2 linked regions of the Anolis sagrei genome follow. The protein of the gene in region 1 interacts with the protein of each later gene in a pairwise test. Links are inferred from orthologs where the notes say so. Each region holds a gene or a part of one and is shown in the gene's direction. Other genes may lie near its edges.

Region 1 (10,930 bases):
TAAATGCAAGAAATAAATAAATAAATAATAAATCCCTACCAACCACGCCTGTGACGGGGGTGGGAGCAAGAAAAGAGCATCCCCGGAATATCTTAAGGACCGTGTGGGCTTGAAGATAGGCAGGTCCTGAACTGTTTAGAGCTTTATAGGTAATAACCTGCACCTTGAATTGGGACTGGAAACTTATCGGTAGCCAGTGGAGATATTTAAACAGGGGGGTTGACTGCTCCCTGTAATTTGCTCCAGTTAACAATCTGGCCGCTGACCTTTGCACCAGTTGTAGTTTCTGAACCGTCTTCAAGGGCGACCCTATGTAGAGTGCATTACAATAGTCCAATCTTGAGGTAACTAAAGTGTGGACCACCATGGTCAAGTCAGACTTCTCGAGGTACAGTCGCAGCTGACGCAGAAGTTTGAACTGTGCAAAGGCCCTCCCGCCCTCTGCCGATGCCTGAGCATCAAGTGTCAGCGCTGAGTCCAGGAGGACCCCCAAACTGCAGACCTGTGTCTTCAAGGGGAGTGTAACCCCATCAAACACAGGTTGCCACTCTATACCCCGTTCGGCCAAGCGACTGACCTGTCTTGTCAGGATTAAATTTCAGCTTGTTGGCCCTGATCCAGTTCATCACAGCAGCCAGGCACTGGTCCAGGATCCGAGGGGCTTCCTTGGATTTTGGTGGAAAGGAGTAATAGAGTTGCATGTCATCTGTGTAGAGATGACAACGAACTCCAAAACTCCAGATGACCTCACCCAGTGGTTTCATGTAGATATTAAAAAGCATGGGGGAAAGAATAGAACCCTGCGGGACCCCATAGGTCAAAGGCCAGGGGTCCGGTCAGGTATCCCCCACCTTCACCAACTGGGTGCAGCCCTCCAGAAGGAATGGGGGCACTGCATTCCAAAGAGCCATCCCAGAAGGATACCATGATCGATGGTATCGAAAGTCACTGAGATGTCCAGGAGAACCAACAAGGTCACACTCCCCCTGTCAAGTTCTCTGTAGAGGTCATCCACCAAGGCAACCAAAGCAGTCTCGGTACTGTGACCAGGCCTGAAACCAGACTGCGATGGGTCCAGAAAATCGGTTTCGTCCAGGAATCCCTGGAGTTGAGAAGCAACCACTCGTTCCAGAATCTTACCCAAAAAAAGGGAGATTTGAGATTGGCCGATAGTTGTTCGATATTGATGAGTCAAGAGATGCCTTTTTAAAGAGCGGTCTCATGACTGCCTGTTTTCGGCATGGTGGAATTTGCCCTTGCTCCAATGAAGCATTTATTATCTTTTACAACCAATCGGCCACCCCTCCTCCAGCAAGTTTTATAAGCCACGACGGGCAAGGGTCTAGTGCGCATGTAGTCGCCCTCACCGCTCCAAGGATCCTGTCCATGTCATCAGGCTGCACCAGTTGAAATGAATCTAATAAGATCGAACTGACCGATGCCTCGGTTACCTCACCTGACAATGTAAGAATGTTGGCGTCCAGATCGGAGCATATCTGAGCGACTTTATCTGCAAAATGATGCGTGAACTCGCTGCATCAAGTGATTGGATTGTCGAGGAGCTCCTCCATCCCAGGAGGGTGGGCATAGTCACCCAGCTTGTCCAATCAGATTTTGGTAATACAAGCTAGAACGGCCTTTTCTTCCAGGACCAAGTCCTGGATAACTCCTGTTTTACCGTTGACCTTAAGCCTAGGGGGTCTGTCATTATTATTATTATTATTATTATTAACTTTATTTGTACCCCGCTAGCATCTCCCGAAGGACTCGATGCGGCTTACAAAGGCCAAAGCCTCAAAACACAAACATAACAATACATAACCTAATGCAAATTAAAAACAGTTAAAGCAATATTAAACAACAAGTAATAAAACAATACACCAGGACACAATAAAACTGGGCCGGGCCAGAGTAATGGGTACAAATTAAAAGTGCTGATGTGACAGGTGATATGTGAGGATTATAGGGTAAGTGCAATGTGCCAGCAATCTTAATTTCTAATAAAGTGCTTCTGGGACTTGTTGTTGGAGTTTTCCTATTCTGGAAAGGCACATCGGAACAGCCAGGTCTTCAAGTTCTTTCTAAAGACTGCCAACGTAGGGGCCTGTCTAAGATCTTTGGGGAGGGTATTCCAGAGTCGAGGGGCCACCACAGAAAAGGCCCTGTCTCGCGTCCCCACCAGACGCGCCTGCGACGCAGGCAGGACCGCGAGCAGGGCCTCTCCGGATGAACGAAGTGAGCGCGTGGGTTCATAAACGGAGATGTGGTCACGCAGGTAGGAAGGTCCCAAACCGTTTAGGGCTTTGTAGGTAAGCACCTGCACCTTAAATTGGGCTCAGAAGATAAACGGCAGCCAGTGGAGCTCCTTGAACAGGAGGGTTGAACTCTCTCTGTAAGGAGCACCAGTTAACATTGTGGCCGCTGCCCGTTGGACCAGTTGAAATTCCCGAGCCGTTTTCAAGGGCAGCCCCACATAGAGCGCATTACAGTAGCCCAATCTAGAGGTGACCAAGGCGTGGACCACCCCGGCCAGATCAGCTTTTGCGAGGTATGGTTGCAGTTGGCGCACGAGTCTCAATTGTGCAAAAGCCCTCCCGGACACCACCGACGTCGGAGCCTCAAGCGCAAGTGATGAGTCCAAGAGAACTCCCAAACTGTGGACCTGTGACTTCAGAGGGAGTGCAACCCCGTCCAACACAGGTTGCCACCCTATACCCCCATCAGGTTTACGATCGACCAGGAGGACCTCTGTCTTGTCGGGATTGATCTTCAGCTTGTTCTTCCTCATCCAGATTAGACACAACGGCCAGGCACTCGTCCAGCACCCGAGAGGCCTCCTTGGAGTTAGGTAGAAATGAGTAATAGAGTTGTGAGTCATCTGCGTAGAGATGGCACCTAACTCCAAAACTCCGGATGACCTCTCCCAGCGGTTTCATGTAGATGTTTAAAAGCATGGGAGACAAAATAGAGCCTTGCGGGACCCCACAGGTCAAAGGCCAGGGGTCCGAGCAGGCATCTCCCAGCTTCACCATCTGGGATTGACCCTCCAGGAAGGACCGGAGCCAGGACAAAACCATGCCCCCAAGACCCATCCCAGAGAGTCAACCCAGAAGGATACCATGATCGATGGTATCGAAAGCCGCTGAGATGTCCAAGAGAACCAACAGGGTCACACTCCCCCTGTCCAGCTCTCTACGGAGGTCATCCACCAAGGCGACCAAAGCTGTCTCGGTGCCGTGACTAGGCCTGAAACCAGACTGACTGATCTAGGTAGTTGATGTCATGTAGGCTAACCGGCTTAACTTGCCTCAGGGTTGCAAGAACTTTGTTGTGCTTCTCCTTGAGTTGATGAATTCAACCAGATCCTCTCCTCCTCTCCCCCCCCCCCCCACTACCTCAATGGTCTCCCCCCGAGTCGGGACCCTTCCCCCCCACACACACACCCAGGGTAGGCCAGGGCAGTAGTAATATATAACGGGGTAAGTCAACTGTCTGATCCCAGGGAATCAAAATATATCCTGTTCAAGGAGCACCACTGGCTGCCGTTTATTTTCCGAGCCCAATTTAAGGTGCAGGTGCTTACCTACAAAGCCCTGAACGGTTTGGGACCATCCTACCTGCGTGATCGCATCTCTGTCTACGAATCCACGCGTTCACTTCGATCATCCGGAGAGGCCCTACTCGTGATCCCGCCTGTGTCGCAAGCGCATCTGGTGGGGACACGAGACAGGGCCTTTTCTGTGGTGGCCCCCCGACTCTGGAACACCCTCCCCAAAGATCTTAGACAGTCCCCTACACTGGCAGTCTTTAGAAAGAACTTGAAGACCTGGCTGTTCCGATGTGCCTTCCCAGAATAGGAAATCTCCAATACCAAGTCCCAGAAGCACTTTATTAGAACTAAGATTGCTGCACACCGCACACTGCACTTGCCTTATAAGCCTTATATACCACCTGTCACATCAGCACTTTTAATCCTATACCCATTACTCTGGCCCGGCCCAGTTTTATTGTGTCTTAGTGTATTGTTTATTGCTTGTTGTTTATATTGCTTTAATTGTTTTTAATTTGCCTTAGGTTTTGTATTGTTATGTTGTGCTTTGAGGCCTTGGCCTTTGTAAGCCGCATCGAGTCCTTTGGGAGATGCTAGCGGGGTACAAATAAAGTTTAATAAATAATAATAATAATAATAATAATAATATCCTGGTGCAATGCTTAATGGAGCGGGGGTTTCCTGGAGAAGCGAAAGGAGGGAGTCATCTAAAGTACTGGAGGGATTAAAAGGCTCCTATGGAGGCTCTTAAACAGAGGCTGGATGCCCATCTGTTGGGAGTGCTTTTAACGCGATTTTCCTGTTTCTTGTCAGGGGGTTGGACTGTTAATTTTTATTTTTTGTATGTATGTATTTTATCTTTTATGATTTAGCTGTAAATCGCCTGGAGCATTCTCGGATGGAGGGCGATTAATAAGTTATTAAATGATGATGATGATGATGATGGATGGAAGGAAAGGTCTCTTTTAACTCTATATCTATATCATGGGACTTCTCTGGTTGCTCCAAAGCTCTAGGTGCTCTTACTGCCTATTACAGGGAAAACCAGCTGATCCCCAACCCATCTAAAACACAGACATGTGCCTTTCACCTTAAGAACAGACAAGCATCCCGAGCTCTGAGGATTACCTGGGAAGGAAGGAATCCCACTGGAGCATTGCAGCGCACCCAAATACCTGGGAGTCACTTTGGACCGTGCTCTGACCTACAAGAAGCACTGCCTGAACATCAAACAAAAAGTGGGCGCTAGAAACAATATCATACGAAAGCTGACTGGCACAACCTGGGGATCACAACCAGACACAGTGAAGACATCTGCCCTTGCGCTGTGCTACTCTGCTGCTGAGTATGCATGCCCAGTGTGGAACACATCTCACCACACTAAAACAGTGGATGTGGCTCTGAATGAGACATGCCGCATTATCACAGGGTGTCTGCGCCCTACACCACTGGAGAAATTACACTGCTTAGCCGGTATTGCACCACCTGACATCCGCCGGGAAGTAGCAGCCAATAGTGAAAGGACCAAGGCAGAGACATCTCCAGCTCATCCCCTGTTTGGGTATCAGCCAGCACGTCAACGACTTAAATCAAGACATAGTTTTCTTAGATCTACAGAGACACTCGCTGGAAGACCCCAGCAAGCAAGAGTCCAAAAGTGGCAGGCTCAAACCCAAATGAGAGACTCCCCCCTGGGCACACAGAGGTCTGGGCGACTTGGAAGGCGCTGAACAGACTGCGTTCTGGCACCACGAGATGCAGAGCCAACCTTCAGAAATGGGGCTACAAAGTGGAATCCTCGACATGCGAGTGTGGAGAAGAGCAAACTACAGACCACCTGCTGCAATGCACCCTGAGCCCTGCCACATGCACCATGGAGGACCTTCTTGTGGCAACCCCAGAGGCACTCCAAGTGGCCAGATACTGGTCAAAGGACATTTAATCAACTACCAAATCTGCAAAATCTGTGTGTTTTTTTTTCCTTTTTCTTTTTAATCTGTGTGTTTGTTTTGCTCTGTTAGAAGTGTAACACAATGCTTGCTGATGACACGATAAATAAATAAATGGGACTTCTGTGCCTCTCTAGGGTGAAAGGGGGCAGCCTCCAGACCTGCCCCTTGCTTTTCCCCATCAGGACAATGATAATACTACTACCAATAATAATAAGGCCCCTTCCTCACCTGTCGGGGGAGCCATGTGTGCTGCTGCTGCTGCGTCTGCTACTTCCGGTGCTTCTGCTGCCAATCCTCTGGTGGACCGCCCCCTGGCCTACTAAGAAACTCCGCCCCTTTTGACGACGGCACTCGGAAGTGTTGGGACAGCGCCACCCTCCCCGCGCCCTTTGGCGTCCTCCTCCTAACCTAACCTAAGCTTTTCAACCTGACATCTAGAGATAGACAAACTGCGCATGCGATCCCTTGGCAATTGCACTGACCGGGACTGCGCACGCGCTCTCTTCGAGGAAAAGGAGAGAAGGAAGTGGGCCTCCCGCGGCCCTTGCCACTGATTGACGCAGGCGCAAAAGCGAGTTCCGCCTCCTCTTCTTCCTGCGCAGGCGCGCTTGGGAGCAGGCGAGGCGAGACAAGGGGGCCTGGTCTGCGCATGCGCACTCGGGGGAAGGAGGGGAGGAGGAGGCCTCTGCTTGCCTGCCTGCTTGCTGCCACTGGTGAGCTTTCTTCTCCAAAGCGCCCCCCTTTGTGTCTATTATTATTGTATTCATGTATATTCTGCTTTCTCTCTCCATAAGGAGGCTCAAAGCATCTATCCATCTAGATTATTATATTACATATTTATTATTGTTGATATTATATGTATTTATGTCTTGCTTGATCCCTCCATAAGAAGACTCAAAGCAGATATGTGTTATTATTATTATATTGCATAGTTATTATAGTTGTTATTGTTATCAGTATTTATTGACACCTCATCTTATCTCTCCCAAAGGAGACCCAAGCTGCTATGTATCTGTTACTATGTATTTTTTATATTGATTTGCACCCCACTTTACCTCTTGCTTTCAGTGACCGTGTACCTATTATTATTATTAATAATGGAAGCAGCTTTGGTCACCTTTGTGAGTGGGTTGCCTCCGCAGGGAGTTCGGCGTGGGTCGGGTGTCCCTATTGGTTCTCTTGGATCTCTCACCGGTTTTTATACAATTGACTATGGTGTCCTTCTGGGCCGGCTCTCCGGAAGGGTCTTGGGAGCATTGCACTTCAATGGCTCCTCTCCTTCCTGGAGGGCCACACCCAGTATGTGAAGTTGGGGGACTCCTTCTCGAACCTCTTGGCCTGTGACCTATGGCAGTGGTTCTCAACCTTGGGTCCCCAGATGTTTATGGCCTACAACTCCCAGAAATCCCAGCTAGTTTACCAGCTGTTAGGATTTCTGGGAGTTGAAGGCCAAAAACATCTGGGGACCCCAGGTTGAGAACCACTGACCTATGGGGTCCTGCAAAGGTTCCATTCTCACCCCCCCATGTTCTTCAATATCTACATGAAACCGCTGGGCGAGGTCATCCCGAGTTTTGGGGTTCAGTGCCATCTCTATGCAGATGTCACCCCAACTCTATTATTCGTTTCCAGCACAATTTAAGGAGGCTCCCCGAGTCCTGGACCAGTGCCTGGCAGCTGTGATGGGCTGGATGAGGACCAACAAGCTGAGACTCAATCCAGACAAAACAGAGGCTCTCCTGGTCAGTCACAAGGGCATTTCAGAGCCGGGGGCCACTACTGAGAAGGCCTTCTCTCTTGTTCCCACCAACTGTGGAGGTGGGAGCAAGGGAAGGGCCTCCCCGGCAGATCTTAAGGCCTGGTCCACAGGGGGAGATGCGGTCGCGTAAATATGCTAAACTCGAGTCCTGGGCCAGTGCCTGGCAGCTGTGATGGGCTGGATGAGGACCAACAAGCTGAGACTCAATCCAGACAAAACAGAGGCTCTCCTGGTCAGTCACAAGGGCATTTCAGAGCCAGGGGCCACTACTGAGAAGGCCTTCTCTCTTGTTCCCACCAACTGTGGAGGTGGGAGCAAGAGAAGGGCCTCCCCGGCAGATCTTAAGGCCTGGTCCACAGGGGGAGATGCGGTCGTGTAAATATGCTAAACTCGAGTCCTGGGCCAGTGCCTGGCAGCTGTGATGGGCTGGATGAGGACCAACAAGCTGAGACTCAATCCAGACAAAACAGAGGCTCTCCTGGTCAGTCACAAGGGCATTTCAGAGCCGGGGGCCACTACTGAGAAGGCCTTCTCTCTTGTTCCCACCAACTGTGGAGGTGGGAGCAAGGGAAGGGCCTCCCCGGCAGATCTTAAGGCCTGGTCCACAGGGGGAGATGCGGTCGCGTAAATATGCTAAACCCGAACTGTGTAGGGCTTTGTAGGCAATAACCTGCACTTTGAATTGGGCCCGGAAACACATAGGCAGCCAATAGAGGTGCTTTAATAAGGGGGTGGTATGTTCCCTATAATCTGCTCCTGTCAGCAACCTGGCCACTGATCTTTGCACCAGCAGTTTTCGAGCTTCTTCAGAGACAGCCCCATGTAGAGTGCATTGCCGTAATCCATCCAAGATGTAACTAAGGCATGGACCACCATGGCCACATCTGGCTTTTTATATGGCAGGAGTACATTTATATCTGGATGAACTCTCTGGGATAGGATGTGACTTGAGGGCCATTGCTTTGCAGTGGTTCTGCTCCTTCCTGGAGGACCAGACCCAGATGGTGGTGCAGGGGGACTGTGGGGTCTCTCAAGGTTCCACTCTATCTCCCATGCTCTTCAATATCTACATGAAACCGCTGGGCGAGGTCATCCGGAGTTTTGGAGTTCGGTGCCATCTCTATGCAGATGTCACTCAACTCTATTATTCATTTCCAGCACAATCCAAGGAGGCTCCCCGAGTCCTGGGCCAGTGCCTGGCAGCTGTGATGGGCTGGATGAGGACCAACAAGCTGAGACTCAATCCAGACAAAACAGAGGCTCTCCTGGTCAGTCACAAGGGCATTTCAGAGCCAGGGGCCACTACTGAGAAGGCCTTCTCTCTTGTTCCCACCAACTGTGGAGGTGGGAGCAAGGGAAGGGCCTCCTTGGCAGATCTTAAGGCCTGGACCACAGGGGGAGATGCGGTCGCGTAAATATGCTAAACCCGAACTGTGTAGGGCTTTGTAGGCAATAACCTGCACTTTGAATTGGGCCCGGAAACACATAGGCAGCCAATAGAGGTGCTTTAATAAGGGGGTGGTATGTTCCCTATGAAACATGCCCCGGTGGCGCCGTGGGTTAAAGCACTGAGCTGCTGAGCTTGTTGAGCGAAAGGTCGCAGGTTCGATTTCGGGGAGCGGCGTGAGCGTCCGCTGTCAGCCCTAGCTTCTGCCAACATAGCAGTTCGAAAACATGCAAATGTGAGTAGATCAATAGGTACCGCTCCGGCGAGAAGGTAACGGCGCTCCATGTAGTCATGCCGGCCACATGACCTTGGAGGTGTCTACGGACAACGCCGGCTCTTCGGCTTAGAAATGGAGATGAGCACCACACCCCAGAGTCAGACATGACTGGACTTAATGTCAGGGGACTACCTTTACCTTTACCTATGTTCCCTATAATCTGCTCCTGTCAGCAACCTGGCCACTGATCTTTGCACCAGCAGTTTCCGAGCTGTCTTCAGAGACAGCCCCATGTAGAGTGCATTGCCGTAATCCCTCCGAGATGTAACTAAGGCATGGACCACCATGGCCACATCTGGCTTTTTATATGGCAGGAGTACATTTATATCTGGATGAACTCTCTGGGATAGGATGTGACTTGGGGGCCATTGCTTTGCAGTGGCTCTGCTCCTTCCTGGAGGACCAGACCCAGATGGTGGTGCAGGAGGACTGTGGGGTCTCTCAAGGTCCCACTCTATCTCCCATACTCTTCAATATCTACATGAAACTGATGGGTGAGGTCCTCCGGAGCTTTGGATTTGGGTGCCATCCCAACTCTACTACTCTTTTCCACTCCATTCCAAGGAAGCTCCCTGGGTCCTGTACCAGTGCCTGGCAATTTTGATGGGCTGGATGAGGGTCAACTAGCTTACAATCCTGGTAAGTTGCGAGGCTGATCAGGGCCTAGGATCAGGGCGAGGCTGATCAGGGCCTGTGCTTGACGGAAGGGGTCACGCTGCCCCTGAGGACATAGTTCTGCAGCCTGGGGGTCCTCCTGGACTCAGTGCTGACCCTTGAAGCTCAGGTATCGACGGTGGCCCGGAGGGCCTTTGCATAGTTAAAGCTTGTGCACTATCTGCGACCGTACCTCAAAAAGCCTGATGGCCATGGTGGTCCACGCCTTAGTTACATCCAGAATAGACTACTGAAATGCATTCTACGTGGGCTGCCTTTGAAGACGGCTCGGAAGCTGCAGCTAATGCAAAGATCAGCAGCAAGGCTTCTAACTGGAGTTAATTATAGGGAGCGCAGGATGCCCCTATTAAAGCAGCTCCACTGGCTTCTGATAAGTTTCTGGTCCCAATTCAAGGTGCAGGTTACCACCTACAAAGCCCTACACAGTTCAGGTCCAGCCTATCTTCGAGACCGCATTTGCTTCTATGAACCGGTGTCAGTTTTGAGATCTGCCTGGAGGCCCTCCTCTTGGTCCCACCTCCGTCTCAAGTGCGGTTGGTGGGGACGAGGGAGAGAAAGAGAAGACCCTTCTTGGTGGTGCCCACCCTCCTGGGGTCTGGAACACCCTCCCCAGGGAGAGTACTTTTGGAAAGAGCTAAAATGTGGCTTTTGAAACAATTTAAGATAGTTGCCATTGATTGCCAATTATCTTTTAATCATGGCTACAGCCATATTTTGCTGTCTCTATTTAATGGAAGCTGCTTTTGTTAATTTAATATATTGGTTTTATCGGATGTGTTATTGATTTTATGCTGTTGTATTGCATGTGTGTTATATTGTAAGCGGCCCCGAGTCCCTATGGGAGATGGTGGTGGGGTATAAATAAAAGTTTATTATTATTGCTATTGTTATTATATTGATTTGCACCCGGCTTTATCATCTGCACCAAGGAGACTGAGAGAGATGGCTGACAACAAGCGCCTGGCCTTCGCCATCGTCCGATTCCTGCAGGATCAGCTCCAGGACGGAGGCCTCTCCCCGGATGCCCAGGAGAGCCTTGAAGGTGGGCCCTCATTCAAATATCATCAGCATCATAACAATGCCCTGCCTTTTCTCTCCACAAGGAGACTCAAAGCTTTTGGAAGAACGCCTTTTGGAGATCATAACTTTTAAGGAAAAGCCTGACCTTTCAGAAAGGAGCCAAAAACCCTTTAGAGTAGAACCTTCTCTTGTGCCATACAACCAAATATAATTATGCAATGCAGTGGTCTCGGTTGTTAGACTGAATAAC
Region 2 (9,736 bases), on another chromosome or scaffold:
GCTTCCTCCTTCCTTTTGGTGGCCCAACATTTTCTGATCTTCCTTCTTTATGGTGTCGTAAAACACCTCCCCCTCTATATAGTGGTACCTAATTTCTCTAAAGCTGTTTTCAAATTGCTTAGGTAAACAATGAGCTAGGCTGACAGTTGGCAGCTCACGCCAACCCAGGGCTTCGAACTTGCAACCTTTTGGTTGATAGATCTTATAATTGCTGATGATTTACCACCCGTGCTAATCCTCTGGCCCTTTTGTGGACGATCTGCTTGGATGTTCTGGTTGATACGGCTGTGTGGAAGGACCCTCAGAGAGGAGCCTGATGGGGCTTCCCTTCTCAAACAATAAAGCCTTTCTGGGAAGAGACCTCTGTCAGTGACAATCATCGTAGATTAGATGCAGCGGTGAAACGTGGTTCTGGGCCCATAACCCAGCTGTCAGTAAGGCAGGAACGTGATCAATGACAGCCACCTTAGGCTATAAACTACATTATTTTACAGCGATATACATTAGAAGCTACTTAACACTCAGCGCACCGTCCAATCGTAACATTGTGAACACAGGAAGTGCTGTTATCAGCACTAGTCCACACCTCTTGCTTTCCAGAGTGACGCACGACAGCTGCGTCCATTTGCTCTATACGCTTGTGGACGCTTTTCTGCTTCCGTTTCCAAATCAATGGCAATAAGGACACTCTACAGACTTTGGGGGAAAGGAGATGGGAAATTTCCTAATTTTCCCCTAAATTTGGCCTGGAACGGATTCCGAAGCCGGACCTTTTTTGGGGGACACGAGATACCTCTTGGGGAACGCTTTCTGCTTCCAAGCTCTGCCCCCGAGAGCGGGAGAGACGGAAACAAGACTCTCGGGACACGGATTATTATTATGATCATGATCATTATTTTTTAAATAATGTTTTTTAAGCAAATCCCTTTTTTTTTGTTGACTTTCCTTGGGTTGCGCATGTGTTTGGGGTTTTTGGGAAGAGAGGGAGGGGGGATTGGGGGGTGGGGGGAGCGAGCGGGGCGCCATCCTTGGGTTTGTAATTCCCCCCTTTTTTCCTCCTTGTTTTTATGTGAAAACATTAAAAAAGTGACGTTTTGTAAAGTAATTGGGGTATTCCTTTCCTCTTGAAAATGTTTACATATTTAGTAATGATTGGGGATGTTTGGGGTCAAGCCCGGAACCCGCTGCCTCCAAAATCAGCCACCTGCAAATATAAATTGATTTATTTACGTATTTATTTATTATTGACGACCTTGATATGGCGCCTTTCTCACCCCGAAGGGGACTCAGAGCGGCTGACAAGTAAAAAGTAAATGCAATATATTATTATTATTATTATCTTAGCACAATATTAATATTATATATTACATTGTACTATAACATTATCCTGTAATATTATTAGTAATATTACATTTAATATAAAATATACAATTATATTATTATTATTATTAGCATTAATGCATAGCACGGCCATGGCTCAGTGCTACGGATTCATGATTTGACAAGGTCTGCCGAATGCCACTGAACTAGAACTCTCACCATCCTTTAGCATCAAAGTGGTATCAAAGTGCATTAATTCGACAGTGTAGATGGACAATTTTGCAACCCCAGACAAAAGTTTTATGTTAACTTTTGGCATTTTGTCAGCTTTTATGTTAAGTGAGTCTCCTTTGGGAGACATAATTATTAATGGGTTGTTGTCTGTTTTCCGGGCTATATGGCCATGTTCTAGAAGCATTCTCTCCTGACATTTCGCCTGCATCTATGGGAAGAGTTGTGAGAGTGTTCTAGAAGCATTCTCCCCTGACGTTTCGCCTGCATCTATGGCAAGCGTCCTCAGAGGTTGTGAGAGTGTCCTAGAAGCATTCTCTCCTGACATTTCGCCTGCATCTATGGCAAGAGGTTTGTGAGACTGTTCTAGAAGCATTCTCTCCTGACATTTCGCCTGCATCTCTGGCAAGCATCCACAGAGGTTGTGAGAGTGTTCTAGAAGCATTCTCTCCTGACCTTTCGCCTGCATCTATGGCAAGCATCCCCAGAGGTAGTGAGAGTGTTCTAGAAGCATTCTCTCCTGACGTTTCGCCTGCATCTGTGGCAAGCATCCCCAGAGGTTGTGAGAGACCTCACAACCTCTGAGGATGCTTGCCATAGATGCAGGTGAAACGTCAGAAGAGAATGCTTCTAGAACGTGGTCATATAGCCTGAAAAACCTACAGCAACCCAGTGATTCTAGCCATGAAAGCCTTCGACGATTAAATATCATTATTATTATTATTTTTCTGACACAGAAGCACAGTATGTCACAGCAAAGGAGATCTATATGCCGGATTATTATTATTGTGGTTATTATTATGGTTCTTATTTTGTCCAGCCTTTGATGCCACTTGCCCGTCCCTGTGTCTTGCTCAGTTTGGGGTTCAGTTTGGGGTGTGCAGAAGCATTGCAGGTGAGGGGGGCAACGGGGCAGAAGGGGACCAAAGTGCATTGGAATCACCGTGTAGACGCTTCCAAGGATTCCTAACCCCGATGTTCCAGAGGAAGAGCCTTGGCCCCGTGTTTGCTCCTTGCTCCCAAGTGTGGGTCGGCCTTCCAGCTGGAGCAGGGCCAGCGGAGAGACCTTTTGTGGGGCCGTCTCTCCCCCTTTGTCTTTGCCGCCTCCTTCCTTGAAATGTGGTGACAGTTTGGGGCCAGCACCGCTCTCTCCTTCCCTCCTCTGTTGGGATCTTCTTGGCTGCATTCCTTCTCCAGCCGAAGAGAAAGAAGACCGGTCTTTGCAAAGGACGGCGGCCCTTGGGCTTGGGGGAGTCCCCAAAGCGGAGGCTCCAAAGGCAACCCATAGAAATATATTTTTTTCTATGTGAAACAAAACATGACTACAGCAGACTCTTAGTTAACCGGAATCCAAGCAACAGGTGGAAACAAAACCAAAGAAACCACACTTTGCATTTTTGAAAAGCTGGTTGTCATGCTACAGCCAGGCTGTTGGGTTTGGCGTTGATGGTCTTGGTTTGCTTTTCACGACTGGACTGCAAGGTGAATCCCCAGTCGATGCAGAGTTTATGGTCTGGGTTACAGCACGAGGTCTGCCTTTAAGAGAGAGGGACTCTCAAGCAACCACAAACTGCACTCACACAGCATTTATCGATCCCTGTTATTGTTGTTGATATTATTATTGATACACATCTACCAATCCCCATGGGGGCGGCCATGGGTTAATTGGGAGTCGACTATATTATTTATTTATATTTTTATATATTATTATTATTATTATTATTATTGGTATACATCTACCAATCCCCATAGGTACCATGGATTAATTGGGGGGTCTACAGTATTATTATTCATATATTATTATATTTATATTTATTATTGATACACATCCACCAATTACCATGGGTACCGTGGGTTAATTGGGGGTCTGCTGTGTTATTATTAAAATATTTATTATTATTAATAATAATATATTTATTATTGGTACACATCTACCAATCCCCATGGGTACCATGGGTTAATTGGGAGGTCTACTGTATTATTATTAATATATATATATATTTTATTATTGGTACACATCTACCAATTCCCATGGGGGGGGCATGGGTTAATTGGGGGTCTACTGTATTGTTATTAATATATTTTATTATTATTATTAATATTATTATTGGTATACATCTACCAATCCCCATGGGTACCATGGGTTAACTGGGGGTCTATTATATTATTATTAACATATTTACTATTATTATTGGTACACAACTACCAATCCCCATGTGTAGTATGAGTTAACTGGGGGTCTATTATATTATTATTAATATATATATATATATTATTGGTACATATCTACCAGTTCCCATGGGTACCATGGGTTAACTGGGGGGTCTACTGTATTATTATTTATATATTATTATTATTATTATTATTATTATTATTATTACTATTATTATTGATACCAACTACCAATCCCCATGGGTACTGTGGGTTAATTGGGGGTCTGGGGTATTATTATTAATATATTTATTATTATTATTATTATGATGTTTGTTATTGGTACACATCCACCAATCCCCATTAGTACCGTGGGTTAATTGGGGGTCTGCTGTATTAATATTTATATATTTATTAATAATTATTATTATTATTGATCCCAATCCCCATAGGTACCATGGGTTAACTGGGGATCTACTGTATTATTATTAATATATTTATTATTATCATTTATACACATCTACCAATCTTCATGGGGGCCATGGGTTAATTGTATTATTAATTACTGTATTATTAAATACAGTAATTAATAATACTGTATTATTAATATATTATTATTATTATTATTATTATTATTATTGATACACATCTAACAATCCCCATGGGGTAATTGTATTATTTTTGTATTGTATTATTATTGTAGTATTATTAATATATTTATTATTATTATTATTTATTGTTAATGCAACATCTACTAAACCCACGAGAGGTCATGGATTAACAGAGAGTCTGATGAGGATGATGATGGTGATGATGATTGACCTGGCATCTCCCAATCCCCACAGGAGTTTCCTCTATATTATTATTATTATTATTATTATTATTATTATTATTATTATTATTATTATTATTATTATGTCTCCTTTAATGCCAACCTGCAAGTGGAGCAGACTTCTTGCAGACTTATTTTCCAGCCAGCTTTGCACTCATTGGCTGGGCTCTCCCTCTCACGCCTCCTGATTGGTTCCCTGGCTGCCCTCGGTCCCGCCCACCTTGCAGGGGAAGCAGCTGCAACAGAAGTTTCAAGAGAGGAAAGTTGAGAAGCCGAAAGGAAGGAAGGAAGAAGGGAAAGAAAGGAAGGAAAGAGCTTGCCCACCTGCCTTCCAGGTAAGGATCCCTTGGGGGCCCCACAGGGAGGGCCAGGGGTTGGCCATTGAGAGGCAGAACTAGCAGCATTATTATTATTATTATTATTAGTATTATTATTATTATTATTATTATTATTATTATTGTAATAATAATGACTGTAGGATTGGGCGTGCTTTCCTTCCTCCCTTGGATTTGGTCCAGCGCGTGCAGGGTTGCCACGGCAACAGCATCCTCTTTCCCAAAAGTGTCCATAACACTTTGCAACACAATTTGTGTCCCTGGGCTATCAACGTCATTTCCTAATTGGGTCTGTCATCAACACATAGGGAAAGTTGATTAAATTGCCAAAATATTGTTCTTCTGGGACATCCTGCTATAATAGCACATTACGTTACAGTATGTCATGATATTTATTATTACATTTATTATTATTATGTATTATATTATTGTTGTTTTATATTATATTATATTATTTATTGTTTTATTATTATATTATATTATTTATATTATATTATTGTTGTGTTATCAACATCATTTCCTAATTGGGTCTGCCATCAAAACGTAGGGAAAGTTGATTAAATTGCCAAAACATTGTTCTTCTGGGACATCCTGCTGTAGCACATTACGTTACGGTATGTAATTATATTTATTATTATGATATATTATATTATTTTCGTTTTATATTATAATTACATTTATTATTATATATGTTATTATTGTATTATATCTATTATTATATGATATTATTGTTATATTAATTATTTTATGATGTAATATTATTGCAATACAATTATATCATTATATACTAAATATTATATTAATAAATAGAATAATATATGTTTATTTATTTAGTATTTATTTAAAAACTATTATATATGTTATTGTATTATTTCTATTATTATATGATATTATTAAGTTATATTAATTATCTTATGATGTAATATTATTGCAATAGCAATACAATTATATCATTATATACTAAATATTATATTAATAAATATAATAATAATAATAATAATAATAATAATAATAATAATACTATGTGTTGTGATTATTGTTCCTGGGTTGTTATCAATGTCATGTGCTATAGCTTTTCAATGAATGTCCCATCATTGAGTCTCAACAATTATATCATTATATACTAAATATTATATTAATAGAAATAGTAGTAATAATAATAATAATAATAATACTATGTGACGTGATGATTGTTGTCATGTACTCGAGCTTCTCAATGATCGAGTCTCAACAATTATATCATTATATACTAAATATAGTATATAATGACACGATAAATAAATAAATATAAATAAATATACTAAATATTATATTGATAAATATAATAATAATAATAATAATACTATGTGACGTGATTATTGTTCCTGGGTTGTTATCAACGTCATGTGCTCGAGTTTTTCAATGAATGTCCCATCGTCAAGTCTCAACAATTATATCATTATATACTAAATATTATATTAATAAATATAAGAGTAGTAGTAGTAGTAATAATAATAATAATAATAATAATAATAATAATAATACTATGTGACGTGATTATTGTTCCTGGGTTGTTATCAATGTCATGTGCTATAGCGTCTCAATGAAGGTCTCATCATGGAGTCTCAACCCATTGCCACCTAGTTTGTGGCAGACACACAAAGCGACACTTCTGGGGGTGAACAACAACTCCTTTCAATGGAAGAGGGAGAAGGACTCTCTCCAAAGAGGAAGGGAACTTGGTTCCAGTTGTCCTTTCTTTGGGTCTGTTCCTGTGTCCCGGTCGGTCGCCTTGAGTCCAACGAGTGCCTGGAAATCAAACAAAGTGACTTGCCCTAAAAAGGAAGTTTTTGCCCAGAAGAGAGAGAGAGAGAGAGAGAGAGAGAGAGAGAGAGAGGCTGGGAGCCTCCGAAGGGGAAGGAAGGAAGGAAGGAGAGAGCGGAGGGAGGGAACCCTGGCCATGCTCTTGCTTGCTTGCTCGCTTGCTTGCTTGCCCAGGTTTGGGAGCGTCCCACCTGCTGCAAGGCATTAAGCGCAGCTATAAATAAGGCCGGGCGCCTTCCCTTTTGAGCCCTTGCAGCTGTCCCTCTTTCTGCTCGCCCCACGGAGGAATCTGGGGAAGGAAGGAAATAGACAAGGAGACGAGGTGGAGCTGTCTTCCTGGCCCCCTCTCTCTTCACTAGGAAATTTAGGTATTGCTTTACGCGGGGAGGCTAACTTAATTAATTTACAGCGCCATAAAACCTTCCAGCAGCGTGCATAAGAATGAGGAAGTCCTCCATCCAGAACTGGGTGTCACAGCTCCCCCTGTGGCCGGACCTCAGCACACCCTCCTGAAGCCGGAAAAGCGGGAATGTTGAATGGCCTCTATGTGTTGCACGTCTATGGCAGTGTTTCTCAACCTGGGGGTTGGGACCCCTGGGGGGGTCACGAGGGGGTGTCAGAGGGGTCACCAAAGACCATCAGAAAACACAGTATTTTCTGATGGTCATGGGGATTCCATGTGGGAAGTTTGGCCCAATGTTATTATTGGTGGGGTTCAAAATGTTCTTTGATTGCAGGTGAACTATAAATCCCAGCAACTCCAACTCCAATATAGAAGGGGCTCTTTGGGGTTTGGCTTGAGGGCAGCCAGTTCCAAGGGGGGGCCCTCAACTATCCCCAGGGCCAAGGCACCTCCTTCTGTTGCTATTCTGGCCCTTCTTTTTGCACACACACACACCGCCATGCAGCGCTCTGGGAAGGAGAGGGCATGGTTGGGATTCCCCGCATTCCCGGTCCCTCTCTCTCTTTCTCCGGCCAGAAGAGACCGGGCACAGCCGCCTTCCCCCCAAGGAGCCCGTCCTTGGCACTCTCTCCTCCTTTCTTTCTTTCTTTCTTTCTTTCTCTCTCTCTCTTTGGCCACCCTTCTCTCTGCGGCTTTGTTTCGCCACCTTGCGCCCCTCCGTCGGATCGTAAAATTAATTAATTGAGAGGAACATAAAGGAAATTTCTTCCTCTTTTTCTCTCTTCCTCTTTGACTTTTTCTTTTTTCTCTCTATTTCTTTTTCTATTGTTCTTTCTCCTTCTTTCTTTCTTTCTTTCTTTCTTTCCCTCTCCTTCTTTCTCTTTCACTATTTTTCTTTCTTTTTCCTCTCTCTCTCTTTTCTCTTTCTTTCCCTATTGCTCTGTCTTCCTTTCTCTCTGTTTTCTCTCTCTCTTCCTCTTTCTTTCTTTCTCTTTCTCTCTCTCTCTTCCTTTCTCTTTTTTTCTCTCCCTCTTTTCCTTTTTTCTATTTCCTTTTCTATTTTTCTTTCTCCTTCTTTCTTTCTTTCTTTCTTTCTTTCTTTCTTTCCCTCTTTCTTTCCCTCTCCTTCTTTCTCTTTCTCTATTTTTCTTTCTTTTTCCTCTCTCTCTCTTTTCTCTTTCTTTCCCTTTTGCTCTGTCTTCCTTTCTCTCTGTTTTCTCTCTCTCTTCCTCTTTCTTTCTTTCTTTCTTTCTTTCTCTTTCTCTTTCTCTCTTCCTTTCTCTTTTTTTCTCTCCCTCTTTTCCTTTTTTCTCTCTATTTCCTTTTCTATTTTTCTTTCTCTTTCGTTCTTTCTTTCTCTCTTTCTTTCCCTCTCCTTCTTTCTCTTTCTCTATTTTTCTTTCTTTTTCCTCTCTCTCTCTTTTCTCTTTCTTTCCCTATTGCTCTGTCTTCCTTTCTCTCTGTTTTCTCTTCCTCTTTCTTTCTTTCTTTCTTTCTCTTTCTCTCTCTTCCTTTCTCTTTTTTTCTCTCCCTCTTTTCCTTTTTTCTCTCTATTTCTTTTTCTATTTTTCTTTCTCTTTCCTTTTTTCTTTCCCCCTCTTTTTCTCTCCTCCTTTTTCTATCTCTTTCCCTCATTCTGTCTCCTTCTTTCTCTTTCTCTCTCTATTTTTTCTTTCTTTTTCCTCTCTCTGTCTTTTTGTTTTCTCTTCCTCTTCCTTTCTCTTTTGCTTTTTTCTTTCACTTTCTCTTGTTCTTTCTCTTTCTTGTCTTTGTTTTTCTTTCTTTTTCTCACTCTCTTTCACGCTTTGTCTTTCCCTTTCTCTTTCTTTCACCCTCTCTCATTCTTTCTCTCCTCTCTTTCTCATTCTTTTTCAGTCTCTTCTCTCTCTATTTCTCCTTTTTTCTTTCTCTCCTCCTTGTTTTTCTTTCTGTTTCTCCCCCCTTTCATGCTTTCTTTCTCTTTCTCTCACCCTCTCTCATTCTTTCTCTCCTCTCTCTTTCTTTCTCACTCTCTTCTCTCTCTATTTCTCCCTTTCTCTTTCTTTTTCTCCTTGTTCTTTTTCTTTCTTTTCTTTCTCACTCCCTTCTCTCTCTATTTCTCCTTTTTCTTTCTCTCCTCATTCTTTTTTCTTTCTTTTTTCTCTCTTTTTCTTTCTTTCTTACTCTCTTCTCTCCCTTTTTCTCCCTTTCTCTTTCTTTCTCTCCTTGTTTTTCTCTTTTCTCTCTCTTTCTCATTCTTTCTCTTTCTTTTTCCCTTTCTTCTCTTCCTCCCTCCTCCTCCTCTCTCTTTTCCTGACCCTTTGCCCTCCCTTTTCTCCTCCCTGGTTCCCTTTCCCCTTCCTTCTCTCTTGATATTGAGAGGAACATCAAGTCAATGCGTTCAAGACATCCATCCTAATTTGAGTCTGTTTTGAGAGAGGAACGTCAGGCACAAAACTCTTGATTGTGGCTGCCTCCGGGGATCGTCCTTCCCTCTCACTTGCAGATCCGTTCTTGCAACCGTTCTATTTAGAGGGAGCAAAAGAAAAAGTACAACAAGGGTTGTGTGTGTGTGTGTGTGTTGTGTTGTGTTCCATCGTGCCCTTCTTCCCCGTCTCTTCTTTGCATGGATTTGTTTTGCAAATCCTTCCCATGTCGGCCAGCAAAGCCCAAGCTCAGGAG

The links.
Region 2: the proteins of SGTA (region 1) and PBXIP1 interact in binary tests that used the Homo sapiens proteins (3 or more experiments, as listed by UniProt). The two-hybrid records come from large-scale screens. The link is inferred for Anolis sagrei from reciprocal best matches to the Homo sapiens genes SGTA and PBXIP1.

The regions. Positions count from the first base shown.
Region 1 is NC_090034.1:62,624,028-62,634,957, reverse strand, and holds the start of SGTA (small glutamine-rich tetratricopeptide repeat-containing protein alpha), read left to right. Parts: upstream 1-6,106; 5' UTR 6,107-6,215; intron 6,216-10,589; 5' UTR 10,590-10,602; coding exon 10,603-10,702; intron 10,703-10,930. Other genes in the region: THOP1 (thimet oligopeptidase), read right to left, coding at 5,731-5,746. UniProt on the Homo sapiens protein: Co-chaperone that binds misfolded and hydrophobic patches-containing client proteins in the cytosol. Mediates their targeting to the endoplasmic reticulum but also regulates their sorting to the proteasome when targeting fails.
Region 2 is NC_090032.1:267,423-277,158, forward strand, and holds the start of PBXIP1 (pre-B-cell leukemia transcription factor-interacting protein 1), read left to right. Parts: upstream 1-4,630; 5' UTR 4,631-4,869; intron 4,870-9,225; exon of another isoform or gene 9,226-9,604; intron 9,605-9,736. UniProt on the Homo sapiens protein: Regulator of pre-B-cell leukemia transcription factors (BPXs) function. Inhibits the binding of PBX1-HOX complex to DNA and blocks the transcriptional activity of E2A-PBX1.